Linked DNA regions of Cricetulus griseus. Each later gene encodes a partner of the first gene's protein in a complex. Links are inferred from orthologs where the notes say so. Each region holds a gene or a part of one and is shown on either strand. Other genes may lie near its edges.

What was found. The genes of interacting proteins can lie anywhere in the genome.
Region 2: Strn (region 1) and Stk26 share a complex: the UniProt entries of both Homo sapiens proteins name them as parts of the core of STRIPAK complex. The link is inferred for Cricetulus griseus from reciprocal best matches to the Homo sapiens genes STRN and STK26.
Region 3: Strn (region 1) and Stk24 share a complex: the UniProt entries of both Homo sapiens proteins name them as parts of the core of STRIPAK complex. The link is inferred for Cricetulus griseus from reciprocal best matches to the Homo sapiens genes STRN and STK24.

What each region holds. Positions count from the first base shown.
Region 1 is NC_048600.1:5,296,927-5,301,001, forward strand, and holds the start of Strn (striatin), read left to right. Parts: upstream 1-1,160; 5' UTR 1,161-1,267; coding exon 1,268-1,501; intron 1,502-4,075. UniProt on the Homo sapiens protein: Calmodulin-binding scaffolding protein which is the center of the striatin-interacting phosphatase and kinase (STRIPAK) complexes.
Region 2 is NC_048604.1:19,072,270-19,075,917, reverse strand, and holds part of Stk26 (serine/threonine-protein kinase 26), read left to right. Parts: coding exon 1-207; intron 208-3,648. UniProt on the Homo sapiens protein: Serine/threonine-protein kinase that acts as a mediator of cell growth. Modulates apoptosis. In association with STK24 negatively regulates Golgi reorientation in polarized cell migration upon RHO activation.
Region 3 is NW_023276807.1:271,174,962-271,178,609, forward strand, and holds part of Stk24 (serine/threonine-protein kinase 24), read right to left. Parts: intron 3,641-3,648; coding exon 3,532-3,640; intron 3,311-3,531; coding exon 3,153-3,310; intron 1-3,152. UniProt on the Homo sapiens protein: Serine/threonine-protein kinase that acts on both serine and threonine residues and promotes apoptosis in response to stress stimuli and caspase activation.

The DNA.
Region 1 (4,075 bases):
CAAGTCACTTACCAGCTTCTATCTTTAATTTTTTCTTATTCTTTCCATGCCCACAGGAAGAAAACAAGATTAAAGATTTCTTGTTAGAGTGACAAATAATTACTTAATTTCGTTTTCATTTCTTAAACGTTCTTCGGGCACCTTCCCGTTGGTGTAGTGTGAATTTTTAGTGATAAGCAGGGAGCTCAGAGAGGGAAAGCATTGGCAAGCTACTTGGAAGGAAAGGATTTTGGTGTGCTTTTGGTGTTAAAGGTCAATTGACCAAGAATCTGGGAAAGTGACAAGTGAAAAGGGAGAGGCTCCTGGGTATTCAGGAGAGCAGTGGAGCAAAAAGGAACTTGGTTTCCTCCTATTGTAGCCTTTAGGGCTCTGTGACTCTACATATGTGTCTGTCTCCTTTTGATGACAAGAACTGTGACATCTATCTTTATATTCCCGGCACGGAATATAACTGACAATAAAATACTTGTTCCAGTGAACTGAGTTTAAACTGTGCGGCAAAGACGGGGAAAATGAGATTGAACAAGCAGTGCTTGTTACTTTCACAGGATTTACCGAAAGGGACCAGTGTTTCAGATTAAGTGTTAAACTTAGAATTTGGAAGAAGCCCTCCAAAATGTCGAATTCCAGCCGAGAGACAGAGGATCAACCGGTCTGTCAACAAGATCGAGCCCCTGATTGAGCCCCCCTCGGGGAAAGGAGGGCAGGCGCCACCGTGACCCGTGGTGCCGGGGTGTCGGGGCTCTGATGAAGCCCCAGATGGGCACCGAGCGGATGGATTGCTTTGAGCCCATTTCTTAACAAAACGACCAGGAAGCCCTAAACTGAGTGCAGTTGGGCTGGTACTCGGCGTGATAACTTCCGCGTGTGAGTATGTAACAGGGAGCGAAGCCCGCGAACTTCCGCGTGAAGGGAGCCCTAAGGGCACTGCCCCGCCGCTCGGCGGGAGAGGAAACTCGCTCAAACCGGAGGGGAGGGCGTGGCAAGGAAGGGGCGTGCCTTCAGGGTCCCCTCGGAGAGGCGCCGCCCCACAGGCAGCGGGCGCCGCCACGCCCCGGGACTACATTTCCCGGCAAGCCCTGCGGGCCGCAGTTGACCCACTTCCCGGCCCGTCACGGGCTCGCCCGGCCCCCGCGCCCAGGCGGCTGCTCCCTGCTGACTGGGGTGTGGGCGGGGAGCGGCGGAGGGAGGAGGCAGAGCTGGCCGCCGCAGTTTGCCGCCGCTGCTGGGCGCCTAGGCAGAGCTCCCCGGCGTTCGTGCGGCCGCCATGGACGAACAGGCGGGTCCCGGCGTCTTCTTCAGCAACAACCACCCGGGTGCTGGCGGTGCTAAGGGACTCGGGCCTCTGGCGGAGGCTGCAGCGGCCGGGGACGGGGCGGCTGCGGCGGGGGCGGCCCGAGCTCAGTACAGCCTCCCCGGGATCTTGCACTTCCTGCAGCACGAATGGGCCCGCTTCGAGGTGGAGAGAGCCCAGTGGGAGGTGGAACGGGCGGAGCTGCAGGTAAAGACCCTCCCGGCCTGGCCATCTTCATCCCGCCTCTTCTCTCTCTTCCGCCCCGCCCCGGACCCTTCGCCCCTTCCCCCAGCCTGCTCGCGTCCCCTCCCCCTTGCCTTCGCCCATCCCTTCCAGAATTTCATCTCCTTTCTTTCCTCCAGTCACCTTTGGCTTTTGCCTGACCCCATTTCCTAGAACCCTGTTTCCCACTCCCTCTCTGCCGGAGCCTTTTCGTCGGCTGTTTCCCACTCTCAACTCCCGTGTTCATTTCAACTGTTTGCTATGCCACATCATGGGTTGTCCCTTTCGGTTTACTGATTGGGTTGACAGTAGTTTTGAGAGACTGAGCAAATCATCCTGGCTTAACGTGATTCACACCCTAGGTCTAGAGACATTCCCCGCAAAATGTTTTAGCAGTTGGCTACTCTCCCTGCAAGGAAGGTGCGCAGAGAAGACAGCACAAGTTGTATCAGGGAGGCCCTGGCTTTCTTCGAACTGGCGTAGAGTTGGAGTGTTACTAACAGGATGAGCCCCAATTTTGTGTCTGAAAATGTTTCTTCACCCTTCTCTGCCCCTTCTCCGGATTTCGTTTAGATTCGTAGGTTTTCAGTGAAGGGATGAACTGACGGGAGGCTGGTTGTTCCGAGATTCCTCCTCTCCCCATGGTCTAAAACTTCCTAAGAGTTTATTTTATGCCTAGTGTTCTGCAAGATTGACATGCACTTTAGAAGGAACTAAAGGGGCTTCAGCGTTGCGTTGTCTCCTTGCATAACCAGCAAGATAAAGCATATTTGGCAGAGGGGAGCAGTTGGGGTCTGGAGAAGAATGAAAGAAAGGTTGGTGCCTCACTGGCCATTCTGAACTGATAAATAGGTTTATAAAACTTCTAAAACACACACTAATTTCCAAAGGAACTCAAAGAGCTGTGAGTGGTTGTGCCTCTCTTGTTTTATGGGCTAATCCTTTATGCTTATGAAATTCGAGTACAGTTTTAGTTTAGTTTGTGGATTGCTTGAAGTGTTACTTTTTTGCCCCCCACCCCTTTTTTTCTTTTGGCACAAAAAGCCCAGAAAGAAATCTGCAGAAGAGACTCCTTTGCAGACACACACTGCTTTGGTGAGGTGCAGCTGGCTATGGAAGGAGCAAACAGGCAAGGTTATGGTAAATAGGTCTCTATTAAAGGCTGTGCCAGCTTTGTGACCTTGAGGAAATACTGTGACCTCTCTGGGCTTTGGTTTCATCATTTTCTTAACTCAGCACATGCTCATGGCTCATCGAATGCCCACCTGTGTATATTGACTCTGGATTAACAAAACAGAAAAGACTGCTGCCCTCATGGAGCTTATGTTTTGTCAGAAGGTGAACAGTCTGCAAATATAGCTGTATGATATGGCCTATAGTTACCTCTGTGAGGAAAAATTAAGGATACAGCAGTAGAGTGTGGTAGGGGCAGCTATTTTAGATAGCATAGCTTCTGGGAGGTAGGTCTGGGCAATAAAGTGAGGGAGCGCCTGTATGGAAGTTTCTACAGTTTGTGTTCTTTGACTTTTTCATGCCTACTTTTAAGTTGCTTTAGTATCAAGTCCATTTGCTATTTGTAAGTTTTCTCATAATGCCTGGCTGATCTAGTCCCCAACCAAATGACAGAGAAAAGTACACAGAAGAGTCTAATGCATTCTGTCATTGAGCTTACGGAGTTCAGGTTCAAGGCACTATTGAAGGCAAGTCTAACTAATGCAAGTTTGCTGGAGATGATTTTTGCTTGAATCTGCTTAGATTTTAGCATATTTCCTGGTTAAAAGAATGTAAAACAAATAGCACTAATCTTATTAAAAACAAGCAATTAAACTGTTACCTTGCTATGTGCAGGAGTTTGAGGATTTCCAAACCATCTTACCTTTGTCCATTCTGTTCTCTGATGCTTAAATTTTACAGTTCATCTCTAAATTTGATCAGTCTTTAATTTTGTCACACACATCCAAATTAACTTCAGGTAAGTTCCCTGTTGTTGCTTATATTAAGATCACTACTTTTTTTTTTTTTTTTTTTTTTTAAATAGCATCTTTCCATTTGTGCTACAATGAAATGAAATGTTCAAAGAAAGTTAAAAAAAAATCATAGAACAGTCAGGTGGTGGTGGTGGTGGTGGTGGTGCACGCCTTTAACCCCAGCACTCAGGAGGCAGAGGCAGGCAGATCTCTGTGAGTTCGAGGCCAGCCTGGTCTACAAGAAATAGTTCCAGGACAGGCCCCAAAGCCACAGAGAAACCCCGTCTCAAACAAACAAACAAACACAAACAAACAAACAAAATCATAGAATAAATGGGGGCAGTGGTGGTGCACACCTTTAGTCCCAGCACTCAGGAGGCAGAGGCAGGTGGATCTTTGTGAATTCAAGGCCAGCCTGGTCTACAGAGCGAGTTCCTGGATAGGCTCCAAAGCCACAGGAAACCCTGTCTCGAAAAACCAAAAAAAAAAAAAAAAAAAAAAAAACAAACCCAAAAAAAAACCAAAAAACAAACAAACCCTGAAACGAAATAAAAAATAAAAAACTGTTTTCTAAGCATAAGTATTATTATTA
Region 2 (3,648 bases), on another chromosome or scaffold:
CTGTTCACAAAATTAGAGCGCATTGGAAAAGGCTCCTTTGGAGAAGTTTTCAAAGGAATCGATAATCGTACCCAGCAAGTGGTTGCAATTAAAATCATTGACCTTGAGGAAGCTGAAGATGAAATAGAAGACATTCAACAAGAAATAACTGTTCTGAGTCAGTGCGACAGCTCATATGTAACCAAATACTATGGCTCCTATTTGAAGGTAAGGTGTTTATTATATATTATTTCATAAGGTGTTCATGCTGTATTATTTCATAAGATGTTTTCGTTATATTTTGTTTTCTTTTAACTCTATTTTTGAAATGTGGCATCTCTTTTTTTCCCTCTTTTTTTTTTTGAGTCAGAGTCTCACTATGTAGCCCTGGCTGTCCTGGAACTCACAATGTAGAACAGTCTGGCCTTGATCTCATAGAGATATGCCTGCTAGTATTAAGGTTTTCACCACCACACCATACTCAAAAGACAGAGACTTAAATTAAGATTTGGCAATCTTTACCCTCCAGGCAGAATCCAGCTCCATTGATGGTGTCAACTCAACCATTGTTAGAGTTAACAGCCACTTCTTGAAAATACTCCAGAGCTCAGACACACTCTTCCATCCCTGGACTTTTGGTACAGGGAAAAGAAAGGTTTGTGGTCTTTAAGGCCATATTGCCACATAAAAGCTGTACCCCTGGATTTCCACACACCATTCTTAATATTCTAATCTGTCTCAACTGCAGAACTGATGGAGTACATAGCATTGAGTTATGGTGGTTATTTATGCATTTTTCTCTCACAAGGATGTGAGCTCATTGATGACACACAGTTAATCTTGACTAGTCCTAGTTTTTATATCCCTTAGTCCAGCATATGACTCATTCTAAGCACATGATATAGTTTACCTGCACTTTCCCCAGGTTCTTGCTTTCTTCCTCCACAACACTAAAATCTATATGACCAAATCCTTCATTCACAGAAGATGGTGCAATATTTGCAGAGACACTTCCCAGCCCACGCAGAATGACATGTTCTACCCCAAAGTGATATATGTCAACTGTGCCCATTTATCCAGCGACTCACAGATGAATTCTTTAATAAATAAATCCTTTCCCTACTGCCAAAATAATAAAGAAATATAAAATAAATAAGAGATAAATAAGAAAGAAACTACTTCCAGCCCAGTGTGAGCCAGATTGCTCTGTCGGCAGCCTTAAATCTGAGTTGTGGGTGGGTACATTGCCACGGTAGAATGGATTCACTGCATAGCTTTACTAACAGTGCTTTACCTTAGAGGCAGGAGCGCATGTCTGGAGATCAGGCATGTGCAGAAAGATTTCTAGCTCTGTATAGATGGAAGCCCTGTTTTGGTGTGGTGGCACCTGAGTTGTCTGAGGTATGCTGAGTAAAATGTAGCCATCAAGACATTTAGCCTTGAGAGTGCTTGCTTTCCCTCATGGCCACCAGACTATTTAGTGTGGGCAGCACAGGCACAAAAAGAGAGACTGTAGTTCCACCTGAGTGTGAGCTAGCAGTATGAGGTGGTGTCCCCAGTTAGTGACATGTGGGTGGATTCAGTACAGCTCCAGAGCCAAGGTCTGGACTATGGACCCTCATGGGGCTGCCATTAATCCAAGGATGAGGAACTGGCATGGTTTGGGATAAGGCAGGCTCCTTTTCCCAGTGCCTCAGCAGTTATTTGCTTCATGAGCAAGGTTGTGTTGCTGTGCCTGCCCTCCCTGGAGCACCCTAGGAAGACTGGCTGTTGATCACTTCAGCGGTAATGGTGTCAGGATCTTCTGAAGCAGTCCACTTGGGACCACAGTGGTTCGTCTTGCAGGGCAATACTGATAACTTCTACCTTTCTTCTCCCTTTCTAGCCATCTCTTGGCTACACAGATATGCCAGTGTCACAGGTGACCGTTTCTGTGGAGAGAGCCTGCTCTTTTGTGTCTCCTGTGTTGCTACAGTTAGGGCTAGTGAGGTATTTTGGTTTGTGGGTGTATGTTCTTTCTCCTTCTCTTCCTTCCACCCCACTGTGTGTGTGTGTGTGTGTGTGTGTGTATGTGATGAAGACTGCTCTCTTCTCTACCTCCATCTTGGCAACCTAGATGCCATTGCTTTCTTGATCTTTGTGTATACATATCACTTTATGTTGATACTAAAATTCATCAATTTTACTGACTTTGCAAAACTTATTTTATTGTAATATTGTATACATTAGATTGAACAGGAGTGAATTCACTATAGAGCCAGTCAATTGCTAGACACTGTGTCGTACAAGGTACCAGGTGCTGGAGAGATAAAAATGAATAGCACGCCCCTGTCATCAGAGAGCATTCAGTGCAGTATTACAAAAAGTACAGACTTTGTGACAAAAGTATGTATGCTAGGTTACAGGTGAAATGGACAGGAGTGTAGCTCATTGGCAGAGAGTCTGCCTACCATGCTTGTCTTATTGGGTTCCATTCCTATTGGGACTGCAAAAATTAAAATCAAACACAAGCTGCATATTAATAAGTGCAGTAAGCAAGTGGTTACTTGTGTCTTTTTAATCAAGAATAGCATGAAGAAATGGCCTCAGGAAAGAGGTGATGAGGCTGGAAAATTCTAATTTCAGCATTTATTCCTAAGAGTTAGCTGTCATCATATTTTACTACACATGCAAAATTCTGGTTCTTTGCAACATAATGTTTGCTTTTGTATTCATTCCTAAAATTTCTATCTTGGCAGGTCATATTGTTTTATAGAATGCTTTGGAGTGATAGCTCCATCTCAGGACCTTTAGGATCGCCCCCTGATTCCCACAATGGGCTTTGTTGCAGGCAGCCCTGGGAATTTTCTGTCATATGTGTGATTGCCCTTTCTGGATTAAATACTGGTAATTCAAGACTCTCTAGAGCAAACAGGAACCCTTGTTATTTTTAGGCATCTAGATCAGATAAGCTATTTTCAGTGGCTGGCTGAAAATATTAAATAAACCCTATTTAAAATCTTTTTATAATATTTCATTTTAAATCAAAGTACTATGGTGGTGAAGATTTTGATAGTTACTAAGAACCTTTGTTTATTCATAGTTTGCTCACAGACAACTGTGCTCCAGCTATGTGGGTTTTTATTTGTTAGATATCATATTTTAAAAATACTACCTTCAAACCTAGCCTAGTAGTATTTACTTACTAGTCATCTAGTAATTACTTCAGCTATTAATAAGTACAAACTAATGCTTTATTTTGTCCCAGATATTGACTATTGAATGTATTAGGCTATTCCATGACTGAAAACTAATATCCAATATGTTTGTGAAAGGATAAAACTGAAATATTTTCATCTTTACCTATCAGTAATGGAAGTCTTTTGTGACAAAACTGTATAAATGTAGTTATAGATAAATGGTTACACATACAAAACTTATAAATGTTCTCTGATTTTAAGTCACTTCCTTTTTGAGGTGCGTGCGTGCGTGCGTGCGTGCGTGCGTGCATACGTGCGTGTGTGTGTGTGTGTGTGTGTGTGTGTGTGTGTGTGTGTGTGTGTGTGTGCAAAGATGAAACCCAGAGCCTTGCACATGGTTTATATATATTACCGCTAAGGTAAATCCTGGGCATAAGATTACAGTCCAGGCTGGCCCTGAACTCCTGGTCCTCCTGCGCAGCTTTTTGAT
Region 3 (3,648 bases), on another chromosome or scaffold:
GTCTATGTGTCGTCATACAACATTATAAAATAAGTCACTAAGTCTTGTGGCCTGTTGTGTTGTGTGTTTCGTTTGGTTTGAGTTACTGACAGCCTTTTCCTAAGACTGCTGAATGCCCTTCACTACAGTCACCATTTAAGGAACCCACTGTGCACTGACTGAAGTGATTGGTACATGGGCTTAGGCAGCAGGGCTCCCCAGTGCTGAGTCTGAGTCTCATGTCAGAGTCCACGGGACCCAGGCTGAGAACACACCGGGAAAGACACATCAGATAGACTGGGAACACACAGCAGTCTTAGGGCTGCTCTACAGTGAGCAGGGCTGTCAGCAACTCAAAACAAACAACACAACAGGCTGGCAAACAGCTGACATGGGGACCTGCAGTGGAGGGAGACACCTCTGCTCACGTCACTGCCCTGTGAACTCATCACCAGGCCCTGAAGGGACAGCCTTCTCTCTTACACGTGGCAAGAGAAGGCCTGTTCAGGTGACTACAGGACTCGGACATTGCTGACCTTTAACCACTTGGAGTGGACTCACTTGCCATTGTAACTTTGAAAGTTCCAGAAACCCTTACGGCAGGGTACCAGTCAGAACCATGAAGGTGACAAGAAGCAAGAAAGCCACACATAGGAAAGCAACCTACAGGAGCATTAAGGAAGGCCTGACTCTCACCTGTCCTCTTTGGATCGTCCTAACCGAGAACAACCTGGTGCCATCCTGGCACTAAGGAGGTTGAGCCAGAGGAACTGAAAGTTCATGACCAAAATGGGTTATATAATGAAACCTTGTCCAAAAAAAAAAAACCAAAAACACCCAAAACTATGAAATATCTAAACCCAGCCAGGTGACAGATGTGTGGCCATGTGACAAGGCTTTAACTGCCAGCCGTCCCATGTCCTTCTAGCACTAGCCTGGCTAAGCTGCCCTTGCACCTGGAGCCTGTGCAGTCCCCCTGTGCATCTGAAGCCCACTGACAAACCTGGACACTGAGCCCATGAGCACCAAGCCATTTGGCACATAATCAAAGACCACAATAAGAATCCATGTGTAAACCCAACCTACCCTAACAAATGTGAGTAGGAAGACAGAAGGCGTCTCCCAAACATTCCACAAGCAGCATTACTTACTCTACCTCAGAACAAATAATTACATTACCATAGCCCATTAACTTAATGAACTGATTCTACCAAATCCCAGCAAACGTAACCTTGCCTATCACTACATTTACGACGTGTGGCACCTGGGGATTCGAATGAAAATCAGGTAAGGAGAGGACAGTCATAGCCCAAAACAACCAAGGTTGAACTGTACCACAAAGTCATTTTAGAGATGCTCTGGAATGACAGCAAGATCAGGAGAGCTCTCTGGCAAACAAAAAAGGGGTGGCTATGTGTAAAACAGAAATGGGTGGCCTGGGTTCCAAGTCCTAAGGGCCATGGTTGAAAAGCCAATTGAGTGCAACTGAAAGAGAATGACCTGCAATGAAAGGAACTTGGATTCTAGTCCCTCTTCTACCAAAATTCAGACATGAGCACTGACAGTGAGCTGTGGACAATACACCCACCTTTCTGTATGACAGAACTCAGGGAAAAGGCCTGGGCAACAAATGCAGAGAGCAGAACTGACTAGCCTGAAGCACACTTGCTGCTTTCTGGATGCCGGGGAAAGAGCTCCTACCCGAGCTACCACATCACCAGTCTCTGAGTTCTCTCAAGCCAGAACGTGGGACAGCTGCACCTTCACCCACCATGACATGCCATGACACCTTACAAGAGCCACCCAAGGTCCCAAAGGCAAGTTAGCCTATGTTCCACACACCATTTAATGAGCCAGGAAAGCTGCTACACATGGAGGAGGGTCCTATCTTAAAAAGAAGAGAGAGAGAAGAAAGAGTGACAAAGGCTTGAGCCTGGCATGCTAACACATCATTGCAATCTCAACACCAGAAGGCTGAAGCAGGCAGCTCACCAGTTTGTCAGACTCCAGCAACAGAGCAAAACCGTCTTCATAGGGGATGGGGACTGGCGGCTGGAAAGACAGCTACACATTTCAGAGCTCACACTGTTCTCGTAAGAATCCTGGTCTGGTTCCCAGCACCTGTGTCAGACAGCTTAGAGCAGCCTGACTCCATCTCGGGGATGACCTAATGCTTCCAGCCTTCCCAAGGATCAGCATTCATACGTGCATATTCACATAGACGAACGCACGCACACACGCACGTAAATAAATAAACAAACAAAAAACAATGTTCGACCTATGAGCATCCCTGAGTTAAATTTTTGCTGCTGTTGTGAAGTTTGGGACTCAGGAAAGCTACTTCTCTGCCATGATCATTGTTACTATGCACAGGCCGCTGACCCGAGCAAATGGAGTGGCCTATTACAAGGCTTCAAAAAACTAAAGGACCAAAAAAACAATGAACACGAGGTACAGAAGCTGAAAAACAAGCAACTGTGGGAGGACTGCAGTCTCCTGCTGTCTCACAGCCTCTGGGAGTAAGGACCTGAGACCAAAATGAGAACACATGGTGCAGTCACTATAGAATGATGCTTGCCCCATTCTGCCATGGGCTTCTCTGTGGATTCTCTGATGCAGTGGGCAGCCTCTGCCCTGAAGGATGCTCCAACCACAACTTCAGAGAGCACGAGCCAGCCCCTCCTCTTCCTTATAAGGGGTCACGTCCATCGTCACACACTGAAGCCACACCCTAAGGTGTGGCCACCACCCCAAGTCCATGGTCGGAACAAGATACCACTACACTCTGATTCTTTCTCTAGAAGCCCTATCTATACAGAGCAGGCTGAGCTCTGTCCAGGCCCTGCCCTTCATCACTGTGCCAAGATCCCACCCACCTTGGTGCTCCTGTGCTGCGGCATTGCCTGCCACGAGCCATCTATCCAGGGTCTGCATGTCTCAGAAGGCTGAAGCTATGCCCACCCTCGTATCTGCTCCTTCCTGGCCCCACCAGATCAAACACACACCAAGGCCAGAAGAACAAGATAGCCAATAGCACAGCGGGAGATGAAGAAGGAAGCTCACAGAATTACCTCTACAACCTACCTCAGGTACGGAAGGAAAGACACGGATGCAAAAATGAAAGGGGACAGACATCTGAATGTCGTGGGTCCACAGCACAGGCTCTCTCTCACCTTTGAGTCATAGGCTGACTGCTTAATGACCTCGGGCGCCATCCAGAAGGGAGTGCCCACGAAGGTGTTCCTTTTGATCTGGGTATCGGTCAGCTGGCCAGCTACTCCAAAGTCAGCCAGCTTCACTTCCCCATGTTCAGAGAGCAGAACGTTGGCAGCTGCAAGACAACCAAGCAGGGGGACATCATTACAGTTATACCCACCCAGGCTCACCCTGGGAGTCCAGGCATGCTTTCCCCACAGGGCACAAGGGCCTGTAATAGCAAGGTGCCCAGAGGTTCACAACAGTTCAGCTTGATGCAGAGTAGGCAGGACAGAGGTACGGAAGGCTCCGCCACTTCAGGTGTTTCAAAGAAATGAAAACAAGAGTAGCTCCTACCTTTAATGTCTCTGTGGATTTTCTTCTCAGAGTGTAGATAATCAAGTCCCTTCAGAATTTCTCGTAATATGGTAGCAATCTGAATTTCATCTAAAGGGCCAGGTTCTAACTAACAAG